Linked DNA regions of Mus musculus: regions 1 and 2 are each reported to be linked to region 3. Evidence: microRNA targets listed by miRTarBase, many of them from high-throughput screens and not tested one by one. Region 3 holds a microRNA gene; each other region holds the end of a gene's coding sequence.
Evidence for each region. Region 3 holds the annotated microRNA mmu-miR-669a-3p (ACAUAACAUACACACACACGUAU, at 1,319-1,341, shown strand). A microRNA usually pairs through its seed, bases 2 to 8, with sites in the 3' UTR of a target mRNA and lowers its output. Matches are read on the target gene's strand: a 7mer-m8 pairs with bases 2 to 8, a 7mer-A1 pairs with bases 2 to 7 and ends in A, and an 8mer does both.

Region 1: the mRNA of Shisal2b is a reported target of mmu-miR-669a-3p. Seed matches in the 3' UTR shown: 7mer-m8 at 593-599.
Region 2: miRTarBase lists Sipa1l1 as a target of mmu-miR-669a-3p. Seed matches in the 3' UTR shown: 7mer-m8 at 629-635.

What each region holds. Positions count from the first base shown.
Region 1 is chr13:104,842,348-104,846,406 of GRCm38, reverse strand. Shisal2b (shisa like 2B) reads left to right here. Exons shown (of 3, transcript NM_029984.1): 3 at 344-1,124. The coding sequence ends at 471. Among named protein-coding and RNA genes, the nearest start is that of Shisal2b, 20 kb to the left of the region's middle.
Region 2 is chr12:82,449,683-82,453,741 of GRCm38, forward strand. It overlaps Sipa1l1 (signal-induced proliferation-associated 1 like 1), which reads left to right. Exons shown (of 21, transcript NM_172579.3): 21 at 219-2,104. The coding sequence ends at 362. Among named protein-coding and RNA genes, the nearest start is that of Gm51987, 5.3 kb to the left of the region's middle.
Region 3 is chr2:10,485,386-10,489,453 of GRCm38, forward strand. Mir669a-7 (microRNA 669a-7) reads left to right here and starts at 1,268; the gene lies at 1,268-1,354. All of the region lies in intron 10 of Sfmbt2 (Scm-like with four mbt domains 2), which reads left to right. Mir467a-4 (microRNA 467a-4) reads left to right here and starts at 750; the gene lies at 750-832. It overlaps Mir466b-4 (microRNA 466b-4), which reads left to right and starts at 1,038; the gene lies at 1,038-1,127. It also overlaps Mir467a-5, Mir466b-5 and Mir669p-1.

The sequences.
Region 1 (4,059 bases), not on the chromosome of region 3:
AGCTTTAATGCAGTCTACTTACTAGTTATATGTAGAGTAGGGAGTCACACTTTGAGTGACCCTGAAATTGTTAACACCTTGTGAAATGTGTGCTTTCTCACAGAGGCCTGAAGAAAGAGTATGGCAATGAAATTTGTACCCCTGTGATGGAATATCTCCTTTCACTTTCAGAATGCATGGCTCAAAATCATCCTGAATGGATTTGGTTTTCACTCATCTATATAACATTTTCAGGACGTCCTATTTTCCATACTATTATAACAATTCAAGCACAAACTTTGAAAAGACAAATTTTATGTCGTAAGTTTGATTAATTATTTCATTTGGTCTTGTGTATTTCCAGGCAACATAAACAGAAAAGCCAAAGGCCTCAATGCAGTATCAAATTCAACAAATGAGACCTTCTATGAAGCTGACGATGGGACTCAAGAGAAAACAATGGATATAACACAAATCAATATTGCCTGTTAGTTAAAATCCCTGTTTTGAAAGTTTATCTGAGAGAGGGAGCATTAAGAATAAAGAATGAAAAAAAATACAAAAAAGTTAAATAAAAATAAAGAATGCATTTTATTTGTGGATTTGTTTTGTTTGTTATGTTTTTTGTTGTTGTTGTCATTTTAAATATAGACTTTATATACATGGCCTTGCTCATCCTGGAACTCACTATGCAGACTGGGCCTCCTGAGTGCTGAGGTTTAAGGTCTGGGCCACCACATTTGTCAAGAACACATTTTAGATCAGCTGCTAACATCACTTTCCCAAAATCTGTCACTCACAAAGCAAGGCCAGCTGCAGTTTTAGTGAATTCATTTATTAGACACTCACTAAGGTGCTGTTGTTTATGGGTAGAAGTTTACTGTGTCAAGTTTCTGTACAACATGAAGCTACGCTTTTCTATCAAAATGAGTTCAGCAACGATGGAGAGACAAACCAATCACAGTGAAGCGCAATACGTGGGTTTGTTTCATTACCAACCTTTCACAATCATTTAATACAGGATGCTACTGTTAATTCCGGGAAAGCAAACCTGGTGGCGGGTCTTGTCTCAAGTCTCTTAGAAATCAATGTTTCTGAGAATTTGTGTATGTGTGCAGCAAAAATAAATTACCTTCATAAAAGTTACTTTTCAATGACAAATGTATCACTGAATTATCTGTGCAATGGGTACTTGCTGTATTTCATATAATAGACAAATCCCCTGTCAATACTTACCCTGAAGAATGTCTGTAATGAAAGATATAAAAGAAATCTGAATGTCACCAGCAGACTCAGCTGGCCCCTTGGACACACTCCCTGCTCTGGTTGCTTATCTCTGGGTTAACATCATGGAGGTTAGGTACTCCCTGTCTTGGGTTATCTCGTGCTTCTCTCTGTAACTTACAAGCAGCAGGTGCCTCATCAATTGACACAAAATATTAAAAGCAAGAAGGCAAATCAGCCTTCTTGTGGCTCAGCTGATATGCCGAGAAACATATTCCAAATGACTGACTTAGCTATCATAAGTACTCAGTGTAGTTCCATCTAATGCTACCAGAGAGCACAGTGATAGTCAACCTGTGTCGTGACCCCACTGCAGGACAAATGACCTTTCACAGTGGTTACCTAAGGCCACCCACCAGGAAACACAGATATTTACATCACAATTCATAACCGTAGCAAAATTACAGCTATGATGTAACAGTGATGTAAGGCCACCCACCAGGAAACACAGATATTTACATCACAATTCATAACAGTAGCAAAATTATAGCTATGATGTAACAATGAAAATAAGCTTATGGTTGGGGGTCACCACAACATGAGGGACTGTGGCATTAGAAAGGCTGAGAACCACACATCCAACATGAAAAGAGAGTTTCTACAGTGTATATCTCAAGAGGAATTTTTTTCATAAATATATCTATTAAGAATATAGGCATAGTTTTAAAAAGAAAATTTAATAGAAAATTCAGTAGAAAAAGGCAACAACTTAGAGCATGTTTCACTACACACACTGGCTTTGGGGAAGATTTCAGCAGCTGGGGGACATGTCTTTCAAAATGTGCTGAACATGGCTTCTTTGGTCTGATATCAAGAAGAAATGCCTCATCATTCCAGTGTGTGCAAAGCTCAGGGGTAGCAACTTTTCATCATGTCTACCATAATTATGGCTTTCTTGTAGACTAGCACTGTTTAAGGTTTGCGGTAATAGGAATGTTCTCTTATCTGCAGCATGGTATGATTGCTACCAACGCTAAGCGTATACTGGGCACCTGAAATGTGGCTGATGTAACAGAGATGATATGTTTATTTCCTGCATTTTATTTAATGATTACATTTAATACTGACCGGAGTCCCAGGTCATCACCATAATACCTGCTACTTGAGTTATATTTTCCATTCAAGTAGGACAGTTTTGCAAGGCTCAAATATTAAAATGCTAGTGTGTACATGAAGTTTAAAAGTTAGGACATTTTTAGCTATAAAAATGACTTTTTTTGAGATCAGAAAAGCAAAGAGAGTTTATTTTGTGCTGACTCAGAGCTTTTACGGAGACTTTAATCTTTTCAAGTAGTTTTTTTTTTTTTTTTTTTTTTTTTAAATTACGTATTGGCTTTTTGAAACAGGGTTTCTCTGTGTGTAGCCCTGGCTGCCTTGTAACTCATTATATAGACCAGGCTGGCCTCTAACCCACAGAGAACTTGCCCCATCTGGGGCCTCTTTTAAATGGCTGGTGGCGCATGCCTTTTAATCCCAGCACTTGAGGCAGAAGCAAGCAGATCTCTGTGATCCTGAGGCCAGCCTGATCTAGAGAGGGAGTTCGAGATTCAGGACAGCCAGAAAATGTGCCGCCCTGACACACAGGTGTTAGTATATTACTAGATCAGCTCCGGTGGGCATCTAGGTGGGGAGTGCTCAGTGGAGGCATGGGTACAGCTCTACTATCCTTGCCAAAAGGCAAGAGAAAGGAGGCACCATAAAAGGCATGGAGACAAAAAAAAAAAAAAAAAAAAGCCGGGCATGGTGGCACACGCCTTTAATCCCAGCACTCGGGAGGCAGAGGCAGGCGGATTTCTGAGTTCGAGGCCAGCCTGGTCTACGGAGTGAGTTCCAGGACAGCCAGGGCTACACAGAGAAACCCTGTCTCGAAAAACCAAAAAAAAAAAAAAAAAAAAAAAAAGGCATGGAGAAGAGGAAATTAAGGCTGGAGCCCACACGCTCCCTATCTGTGGGGAAGGCAAAATGGAGTCGCACATGGCTGTCTATATGCCATAAACAGTGTCCAAGGAGACGGACCCTGGACCTCTGCTGTGCTGAGTCTGAGTTGAAGGGAGAGGCATGAGTGAGGTCAAAAGACCCTGGCCTTAGCAACTGGGGTCACTGTCACCTCTGTTCTTAAGGCAAAGTTTGAAACCTAGGATGGTGCACAGCCTCACCTGCAGAGGCAGCTCACATCTACCGCTATTGGAGGGACGTGTCTCTCTGAAACTCTGAAACGGTGGTACTTCAAAAATTGATCAGAATATTAAAAGCAAGCCTTATTTCATTAAAGCAGTCTATACACTGGAAAATACGTTTGGGTTTCACCAATGCTAACACAGCAAGAGTTTTAAGCCTGTCAGAATAAGATGAAGCAAGTCCCCCTTTAAAAAAAGTGTGCATGTGTATAAATTCTGAGATTTATCTGACGGCACAGTAAGGCATTTTTATTTTTTATTTTGGTTCTAGGAAATACAAGCTATTGTATAATTCACAAACAACACAGCATAAGATGCTCAAACTATCTTCTATGTAGACTACTAATGACAGCATTTTCATCTTTAAAAAACTGTAGAACAGGAGCACAAAACAGATGAGACCAAACCCGAGGTTTCCTTCCTTAAAACTCTCATGGCTTAGAGAGTTAAATGTGAGCTTGCAAACATGGAGCCTCATGGAGCCTAAGGCTCCCTTCACTTGGTTGCAGGAACCTGAAACAGTGTCTCCTCAGTTTTTATGCTCTGAATTACACAGATAGACTAGCCACACCGAGCTTCTACTCTTTCAGGCACACTGTTCATTTCCAGCTCATCACCC
Region 2 (4,059 bases), not on the chromosome of region 3:
AGTTGAAATTTGTGATTCTTGATTGGCTTTGACTTACTTAATCAAGGCAGCTTTCTGGGAGCCCCCTGGGCTTGGATCTGATGTGTGTGGGCATTTAGTAGACTGGGGAGAGGGGAGGGACCTCCAAAAGGGAATCAGAACTGCTTCTCCTGAGAGCTGGGTGGGTTGCCCAGATACGTGCACACCCCTAGGTCATGTGTGCCTGGCTTCTCCTTCAGGAAAAAGAAGACAAGGCCCAGCTGCAGGCGGAAGTTGAGCACCTGCGGGAGGACAACCTGAGGCTGCAGGAGGAGTCCCAGAACGCCTCGGACAAGCTGAAGAAGTTCACAGAGTGGGTCTTCAACACCATAGACATGAGCTAGGGCCAGCCGAGGGGAAACGAGAAAGGGACAGGCTGCCCTATGTGGGCCCCTAAAGCACCCATTCACGCCTTGGAAAGTATTCTCAGAGTCCCCAGCGTCCCAGCCTGTTCATATCGGACAGTGCACAGCACAATTGCAGATCAACAATCATTATCTGCCTTTTTTAGAAAAGAAAAACAAAAAATTAAATAAAAATTTTAAAAAGTAAAATAAAAATTTAACTGCTCAAATGTGAATGTCTTTATTTTTTGCACAATATCTTTCTCTGTTATGTATTTACAAAGAAGCTGGGCCCAGACCCAAGTGCCCCTGGCCCTCAGTCTCTGCTTCCATCAGCTGACCTGGTTCAGGTACCCCAAGCTCCCTGTCCCCTGACAGATGTCTGTGTTCCTAGGAAGGAAGTTTTTCTTTTTTAACTGTTTGGGGGTGGGGAGGGGCCTTTCCTTGCCTCAGTCCCTAAAATGCCTGTGAGAGGGACTTTAAGGGAAGGCCCCACCCCTAAGTGGTCTGGGTGGGGCTTCTGCCCTCTGCATCCTGTCTGCTGGGGACCAGCAGGGCCACACCACTCACCCTTCAGATCTTGCATCTTGTCCCTTCTTTCTCCAGAAGAACTGTCCCCAGTACCTTCCTAATACTTTGTTTGGCTTAAGTGAACCCTACTAAATCAGAAATCAACCTATTCCACCTTCCTGGCTCCTAACATTAATTGGCATCTGAATTTTCTCAAATGAAAACCTTACCTGTTTGCATTGTAAACACATTTTGGTCAAAAGTCTCTCTCTCTATATATATATATATAGTTTCTGTTTGAGATTTTTAAAGATGTAGCAAACTTTTTAAAGCTTGTTCAAAATGACTAATAAATCTTTCTCACCAAAGCAAGACTTCAACCAGTGTTTGTAATTAGGAAAAGCTAACAGCAGCAAATGTTAAACCGCGAGTTTAATCCCTGCCTGTTTGGAGCAATGCCTAAAACAAAATGGGCTTTTGGAACCTGCATGTCGCAGTGTGGAGTTTATGCACAGCATTTTCTGCATCCTTTTGATGCCATCCAAAGGACTCTGCTGCAGAAATTACCCCTGCACTGTTCCTCCTGTCCAGTGATGCAGGCTGTTCTGGGCCCCTAACCCTTGCTGCTGTACAGACATGGGGCTGGCCAGTGTTAACTGGCGTTGTGCTAAAAGTTCCCTGCTGTAAACTAGAAAACCACTTGCCCTGGTTTCTATCCCTAAAGCAATATGTATCCCCCTTCCTCCTCCCTCTTCCTCCTCTCTCTCCCTCTCTGTCTCCCTCTGTCTTTCTCTTCTCTCTTCTCCTCTCTCTCTCTCTCTCTCTCCTCTCTCTCTCTCTCTCACACACACACACACCTCTTTATGCTGTAGTTTCACAAATGATTGTGAGTTCCCCCACCACCAGGTTTTTTCTTTCCCCTGTTAACATTTCTACCGTGAAGTAGGAGGATTTGGGAATGCTTTGTAAAGATGATAGTCGACTCTCTAATGTCCATGAAGGAGGTTGTACATTGCCTGATGTCTTTCTGTAAATGAGAAATATTGCTAACATCCGAGCATTCTGAAGTCTTGCTTATCTTCCCGAGTTTCCTTTCATTTGGTTTTCCTGTTTCTTTGGGGACTTGGGGCAAGCTATTTATTAGAGTTTTGCAACCGAGTTCTTGTTTGAAGTCTCTGAAGACTACTTGTAAAATTCAAACAATAAAATTCATTTTAAATGCTCTTTTAAAATGGATTGGTTATTGCTCGGGTTTTTTCACTTGAGACACCACCCAGGAACTCCCTGGTCCTTGCTTCCTGATCTTCTCATCAAGCTCCATTAACTCTAGAGAGGGTGCTGGAGGGCCGGTCCTTTTCAGAAGGTAATGGGCATCTTCGCTCCTGTTCACAGGTCTGCAGAGAATCCCCACCCTCGCCCTTTCCGGGTGTGATTAGTTCCAGAGCATTGTATGGTCAGTTTGCTTCTTCACTGTCCATGTGTGTGCTTCCCATCTCAGCCTTGCCATTCCCTGAGACCAGCATAGTTTGGGTTTGGTTTTTGGTTTGCTTTGTGTTTAGAAAAGCATTCCAAACTATCAAACAATCCTGTGCTCAGGGAATGTGAATGCCTGTTAATATTAGACTGTACAAAATATAATTAGAAAAGTTAGGCCACTGGAGAAATCAGTGCATCCTAAAGTCAAAAACACAGCACTGGATTAAAACACAGCTGGACTAAAAACAGCACATTGCCGTTCCTCTCCAGTGATGCAGCTAATTTGAGAAATGACACACTTTATTTTAGTTGATTCAACAATTCCAACAAACTCTAGAATTGTAAATCTAGGATAATAAGAGTGGATACCACAAGACACTCTTGACTGATCTATTCAGGAATAGCTTGGGGTGTGGGGGGGCTTAGGGATATAGCCCAGCTGGTACAACATTTGCCCAAGTCCTGTGCTTAGTCCTCAGTACTGCCCAGTGTAGTGATTAGCACATTCAGGAGGTGGAGGCAGAAGGGTCAGAAGTTCAAGGTCAGCCTGGGAGATAAAAGACTGACATAAACGGTACAAACAATAAAATCAGCTTGGCTTTGTGCCTTGGTATTAAAGGTCTTGGCATCAGGAGGGGCCATTGGGCTTCCTTGATGAAAAAACTCTAGATAGGCCAACTTGGCTGGGCTCCTAAACTGTTGTAGATGATGAGCCAAAGGGATTTCTCCATAGATGAGGATGAAAACTGCTCAAGAACAGGTGGTTGGCTGGTGGCGCATTCAGCATTTGAGGCTCAGGTAGGAGGGTTGGAGGTTTATGGGCAGTGTGCACTCAACAAGGAGACCCTACTCAAAAGCCAAGTAGTCCAAGAACCTAAGAAGCCGGCCTATCCAATAAGCACTTTGATTCCTGCTAAATGTAGGAGAGTGTGGTTTTGGAAGAAAGTTCTTCTGTCTTCTCAGGGTGAAGAAACGAGTTTTTGGTGCAAGATTTTGGTAAGAAACACAACCAGGGCTGGAGAGATGACTCAGCAGTTAAGAACACTGACTGCACTTCCAAAGGTCCTGAGTTCAATTCCCAGCAACCACATGGTGGCTCACAACCATCTATAATGAGATCTGATGCCCTCTTCTGGCCTGTAGGCATACATGCAGACAGAACACTATACGTAATAAATCTTTAAAAAAAGAAAAGAGAGGGGGCTGGTGAGATGGCTTAGTGGGTAAGAGCACCCGACTGCTCTTCCGAAGGTCGGAAGTTCAAATCCCAGCAACCACATGGTGGCTCACAACCACCCGTAATGAGATCTGATGCCCTCTTCTGGTATGTCTGAAGCTACAGTGTACTTACAAGTAATAAATAAATAAATAAATAAATAAATAAATAAATAAATCTTTAAAAAAAAAAAAAAAGAAAAGAGAGAGAGAGAGAGAAAGGAAGGGAGGAAGGAAGGAAGGAAGGAAGACAACCAGTAAATACTTGGGTACAGTTAGCCAGAAGCTATGTAGTTAGAAATCAATAGTGCCACAGAAATGTTGGGATATTTGCCCATAAACTCATTCCTCTACTACTGACCTATTCAATAGGAGTCGTCATTCTTTGATGAGAAAGGCATTTGACTTAGTCGAAGGCCTTAGGTAAGATGCCCAACTGCTAAAATGGAACAGCCACATGTATAAAGCTGGCCACTGCCAGCACAAATGACCTGGG
Region 3 (4,068 bases):
GGAGGTGAATACTCTTGCCAGCATCATGAGGATGAGCAGTTCAAATTCATGTTTAACTTTATGATGAGTTAGAGATCAGCCCGGAATTCATGTGATTTTCCCTGTGTTTGTGTTTATGTGTATAGGGAAGTATGCCTGTACATGCGCGTATATGAACATGCATATATATATATATATATATATATATATATATATATATATATATATATACACCCACACAACTAGGGACACATTCATGTGCACACAAACACACATGGCAGTCATCCATTTGATTTATACGTGCTTAGAGTTTCATTGAGTGTATATTCATGGTATAGGGAATAATGTCACTTATCAGATGAAAACCACTTGCCAGAGTTAAAAGTCTCAGGAGTTCAAATTCATGCTAACTTCATAATGAGTTAGAGATCACCCTGTATTTGTGTGATGGATCCTAGGTATGCACAAGTGCATATAATTGTGTGTGCACGTACATGTGTGTATATGATCATACATATAAATACACACACATACAAATGTATTCACACACACAGGCATGCACACTCACACACATAAGAATGACACTCATTGATCCATTTGAATGATTTATGTCTTAGAATTTTGCTGATTATAAAGTAGAGGGACAGTGAATATTCTCACTCACCAGGTGTAAACAATTGTCAGTGTCAGGAGGATCAGGAGTTCAATTTCATGCTTAACTTCATGAGCAGTTAGAGATCATCCTGGAATAATGTGATGGCCCCTATGTATGTGCCTGTGTGCGTAAGTGCCTGCATGTATATGCGTGTATATTTTATGCATATACATACACACACCTACACACACATGCACACAGACATGCGGGAATGGCCCTCACGGATCCATTTGAATGAAATGTGACCTACTGCTTTGGAGGTTATGTATGACTGGGCCAGGGTGAGGTCTCACAAACCACAGGAAAACCCTTGGTAGATTCGAGAAGATCAGGAGTGCAAGTTCATGGTAAAGGCATGATGAGTTAGAGGTCATCCTGGCATTCATGTGATTGCCCCTATGTATGTGTGTATGTGTTGATGTGTGTGTACATGTACATGTGTGAATATGATATACATATACATACACGCACACATAAGACACATATGAGCACACAGACACATGGGAATGGCACTCATCAATCCATTTGAGTGATAAGTGACTTAGAGTGAAAATGCTTGCTAGAGTTAAGAGTATCAGGAGTTCAAATTCATACTTATCCTCATGAGAGATCAGCCTGTGATTCCTCCATGTATGTGCATGTGTGTATAGTTGTGTGTGCATGTTCATGTCTATATTTGAATATACATAACATACACACACACGTATAAACGCAAGCACACATACACAGACACAGGAATGGCATTCGCCAATCCCTTTGAATGATAAGTGATGTAGAGTTTTAGAGATTATGCAATAGGGGGCATTGAATGTCCTCACTCACCAGGTGTAAACGATTGACAAAGTCAGGAGGATAAGGATTGCAAATTCATGCTTAACTTCATTTGGAGACATCTTGGTATTAATGTCATGCAACCCATGTATGTGCATGTGTGCTTACTTGTATGTGCATTGTATGTGTTGACATGATATACATAACATAAACACACGTGTATATGCAAGCACACACACACAGGAAAAAATTGCATTCATTTATACGTTTGAATGATACGTGACTTAAAGTTTTCAAGATTATGCAGTAGTGGGACAGTGAATGGTTTTACTCACCAGGTGTGAAAGATTGTGGATCAGGAGTTCTAATTCATGCTTTACTTCATGATGACTTAGAGATATGCCTGGGATTCATGTGATGCCCCCTATGTATCCCTATCTGTATCTGTTTCTATTGTGTGTGGATTTGAGTATATGGATGTACCTATCTACACAAATATATACATGTACACAGACACAAACAGTAACACACACACAAACATGAATGCAACTCATCGATCCATTTGAATGATATGTGACTTAGAGTTTTAAGATTCCTCATTACTGAATGGGGAGAGGTCTCACTCAGCAGGAGAAATCCCTTGACAGAGTCAGGTGGATCAGGAGTTCAAATTCGTGCTGAATTTTGTGATGAGTTCATGATCAGCATGGGATTCATCTTATGCCCACCAAAAATGTGCATGTGTGTATAGTTGTGTGCATATTCACTTCTCTATATGAATATGCATATACACACATGCACACACATTCATAGGAATGGCCAGAGCTATGTCTCAGTTAGGAGGTGAGCACTCTTGTCAGTGTCAGGATGAGGAATTCAAATTTATGTTTAACTTCATGATGAGTTAGAGTTCAGCATGCGATTCATGTGATGCCCACCAAGAATGTGCATGTGTGTATAGTTGAGTACATATTCACTTCTGTACATGAATATGCATATACTCACATGCAAACATACTCCCACGAATGGCCCGAGCTATGACTTAGTTAGGAGGTGAATACTCTTGCCAGCATCATGAGGATGAGCAATTCAAATTCATGTTTAACTTTATGATGAGTTAGAGATCAGCCCGGAATTCATGTGATTTTCCCTGTGTTTGTGTTTATGTGTATAGGTGAAGTGTGCGTGTACATGCGCGTATATGAACATGCATATATATATATATATATATGTATATATATATATATATATATATATACACACACACACACACACACACACAACTAGGGAAACATACATGTGCACACAAACACACATGGCAGTCATCCTTTTGATTTATACGTGCTTAGAGTTTCATTGAGTGTATATTCATGGTATAGGGAAAAATCTCTCTTATCAGATGAAAACCACTTGCCAGAGTTAGGAGTCTCAGGAGTTCAAATTCATGCTTAACTTCATAATGAGTGAGAGATCACCCTGTTTTTGTGTGATGGACCCTAGGTATGCACAAGTGCATATAATTTTGTGTGCACGTACATGTGTTTATATGATCATACATATAAATACACACACATACAAATGTAGTCACACACACAGGCATGCACACTCACACAAATAAGAATGACACTCATTGATCCATTTGAATGATATATGTCTTAGAATTTTGCTGATTATAAAGTAGGACAGTGAAGGTCTCACTCACCAGGTGTAAACAATTGACAGTGTCAGGAGGATCAGGAGTTCAATTTCATGCTTAACTTCATGAGCAGTTAGAGATCATCCTGGAATAATGTGATGGCCCCTATGTATGTGCCTGTGTGCGTAAGTGCCTGCATGTATATGCGTGTATATTTTATGCATATACATACACACACCTACACACACATGCACACAGACATGCGGGAATGGCCCTCACGGATCCATTTGAATGATATGTGACCTACTGCTTTGGAGGTTATGTATGACTGGCCAGGGTGAGGTCTCACAAACCACGGGAAACCCTTGGTAGAGTCGGGAAGATCAGGAGTGCAAGTTCATGGTAAAGGCATGATGAGTTAGAGGTCATCCTGGCATTCATGTGATTGCCCCTATGAATATGTGTATGTGTTGATGTGTGTGTACATGTACATGTGTGAATATGATATACATATACATACACGCACACATAAGACACATATGAGCACACAGACACATGGGAATGGCACTCATCAATCCATTTGAGTGATAAGTGACTTAGAGTGAAAATGCTTGCTAGAGTTAAGAGTATCAGGAGTTCAAATTCATACTTATCCTCATGAGAGATCAGCCTGTGATTCCTCCATGTATGTGCATGTGTGTATAGTTGTGTGTGCATGTTCATGTCTATATTTGAATATACATAACATACACACACACACGTATAAACGCAAGCACACATACACAGACACAGGAATGGCATTCGCCAATCCCTTTGAATGATAAGTGATGTAGAGTTTTAGAGATTATGCAATAGGGGACATTGAATGGTCTCACCCACCAGGTGTAAAAGATTGACAAAGTCAGGAGGATAAGGATTTCAACTTCATGCTTAATTCAGTTAGAGATCATCCTGGTATTCATGTGAGGCCATCCATGTATGTGCATATGTGTTTACTTGTATATGCATTGCATCTGTTGACATGATA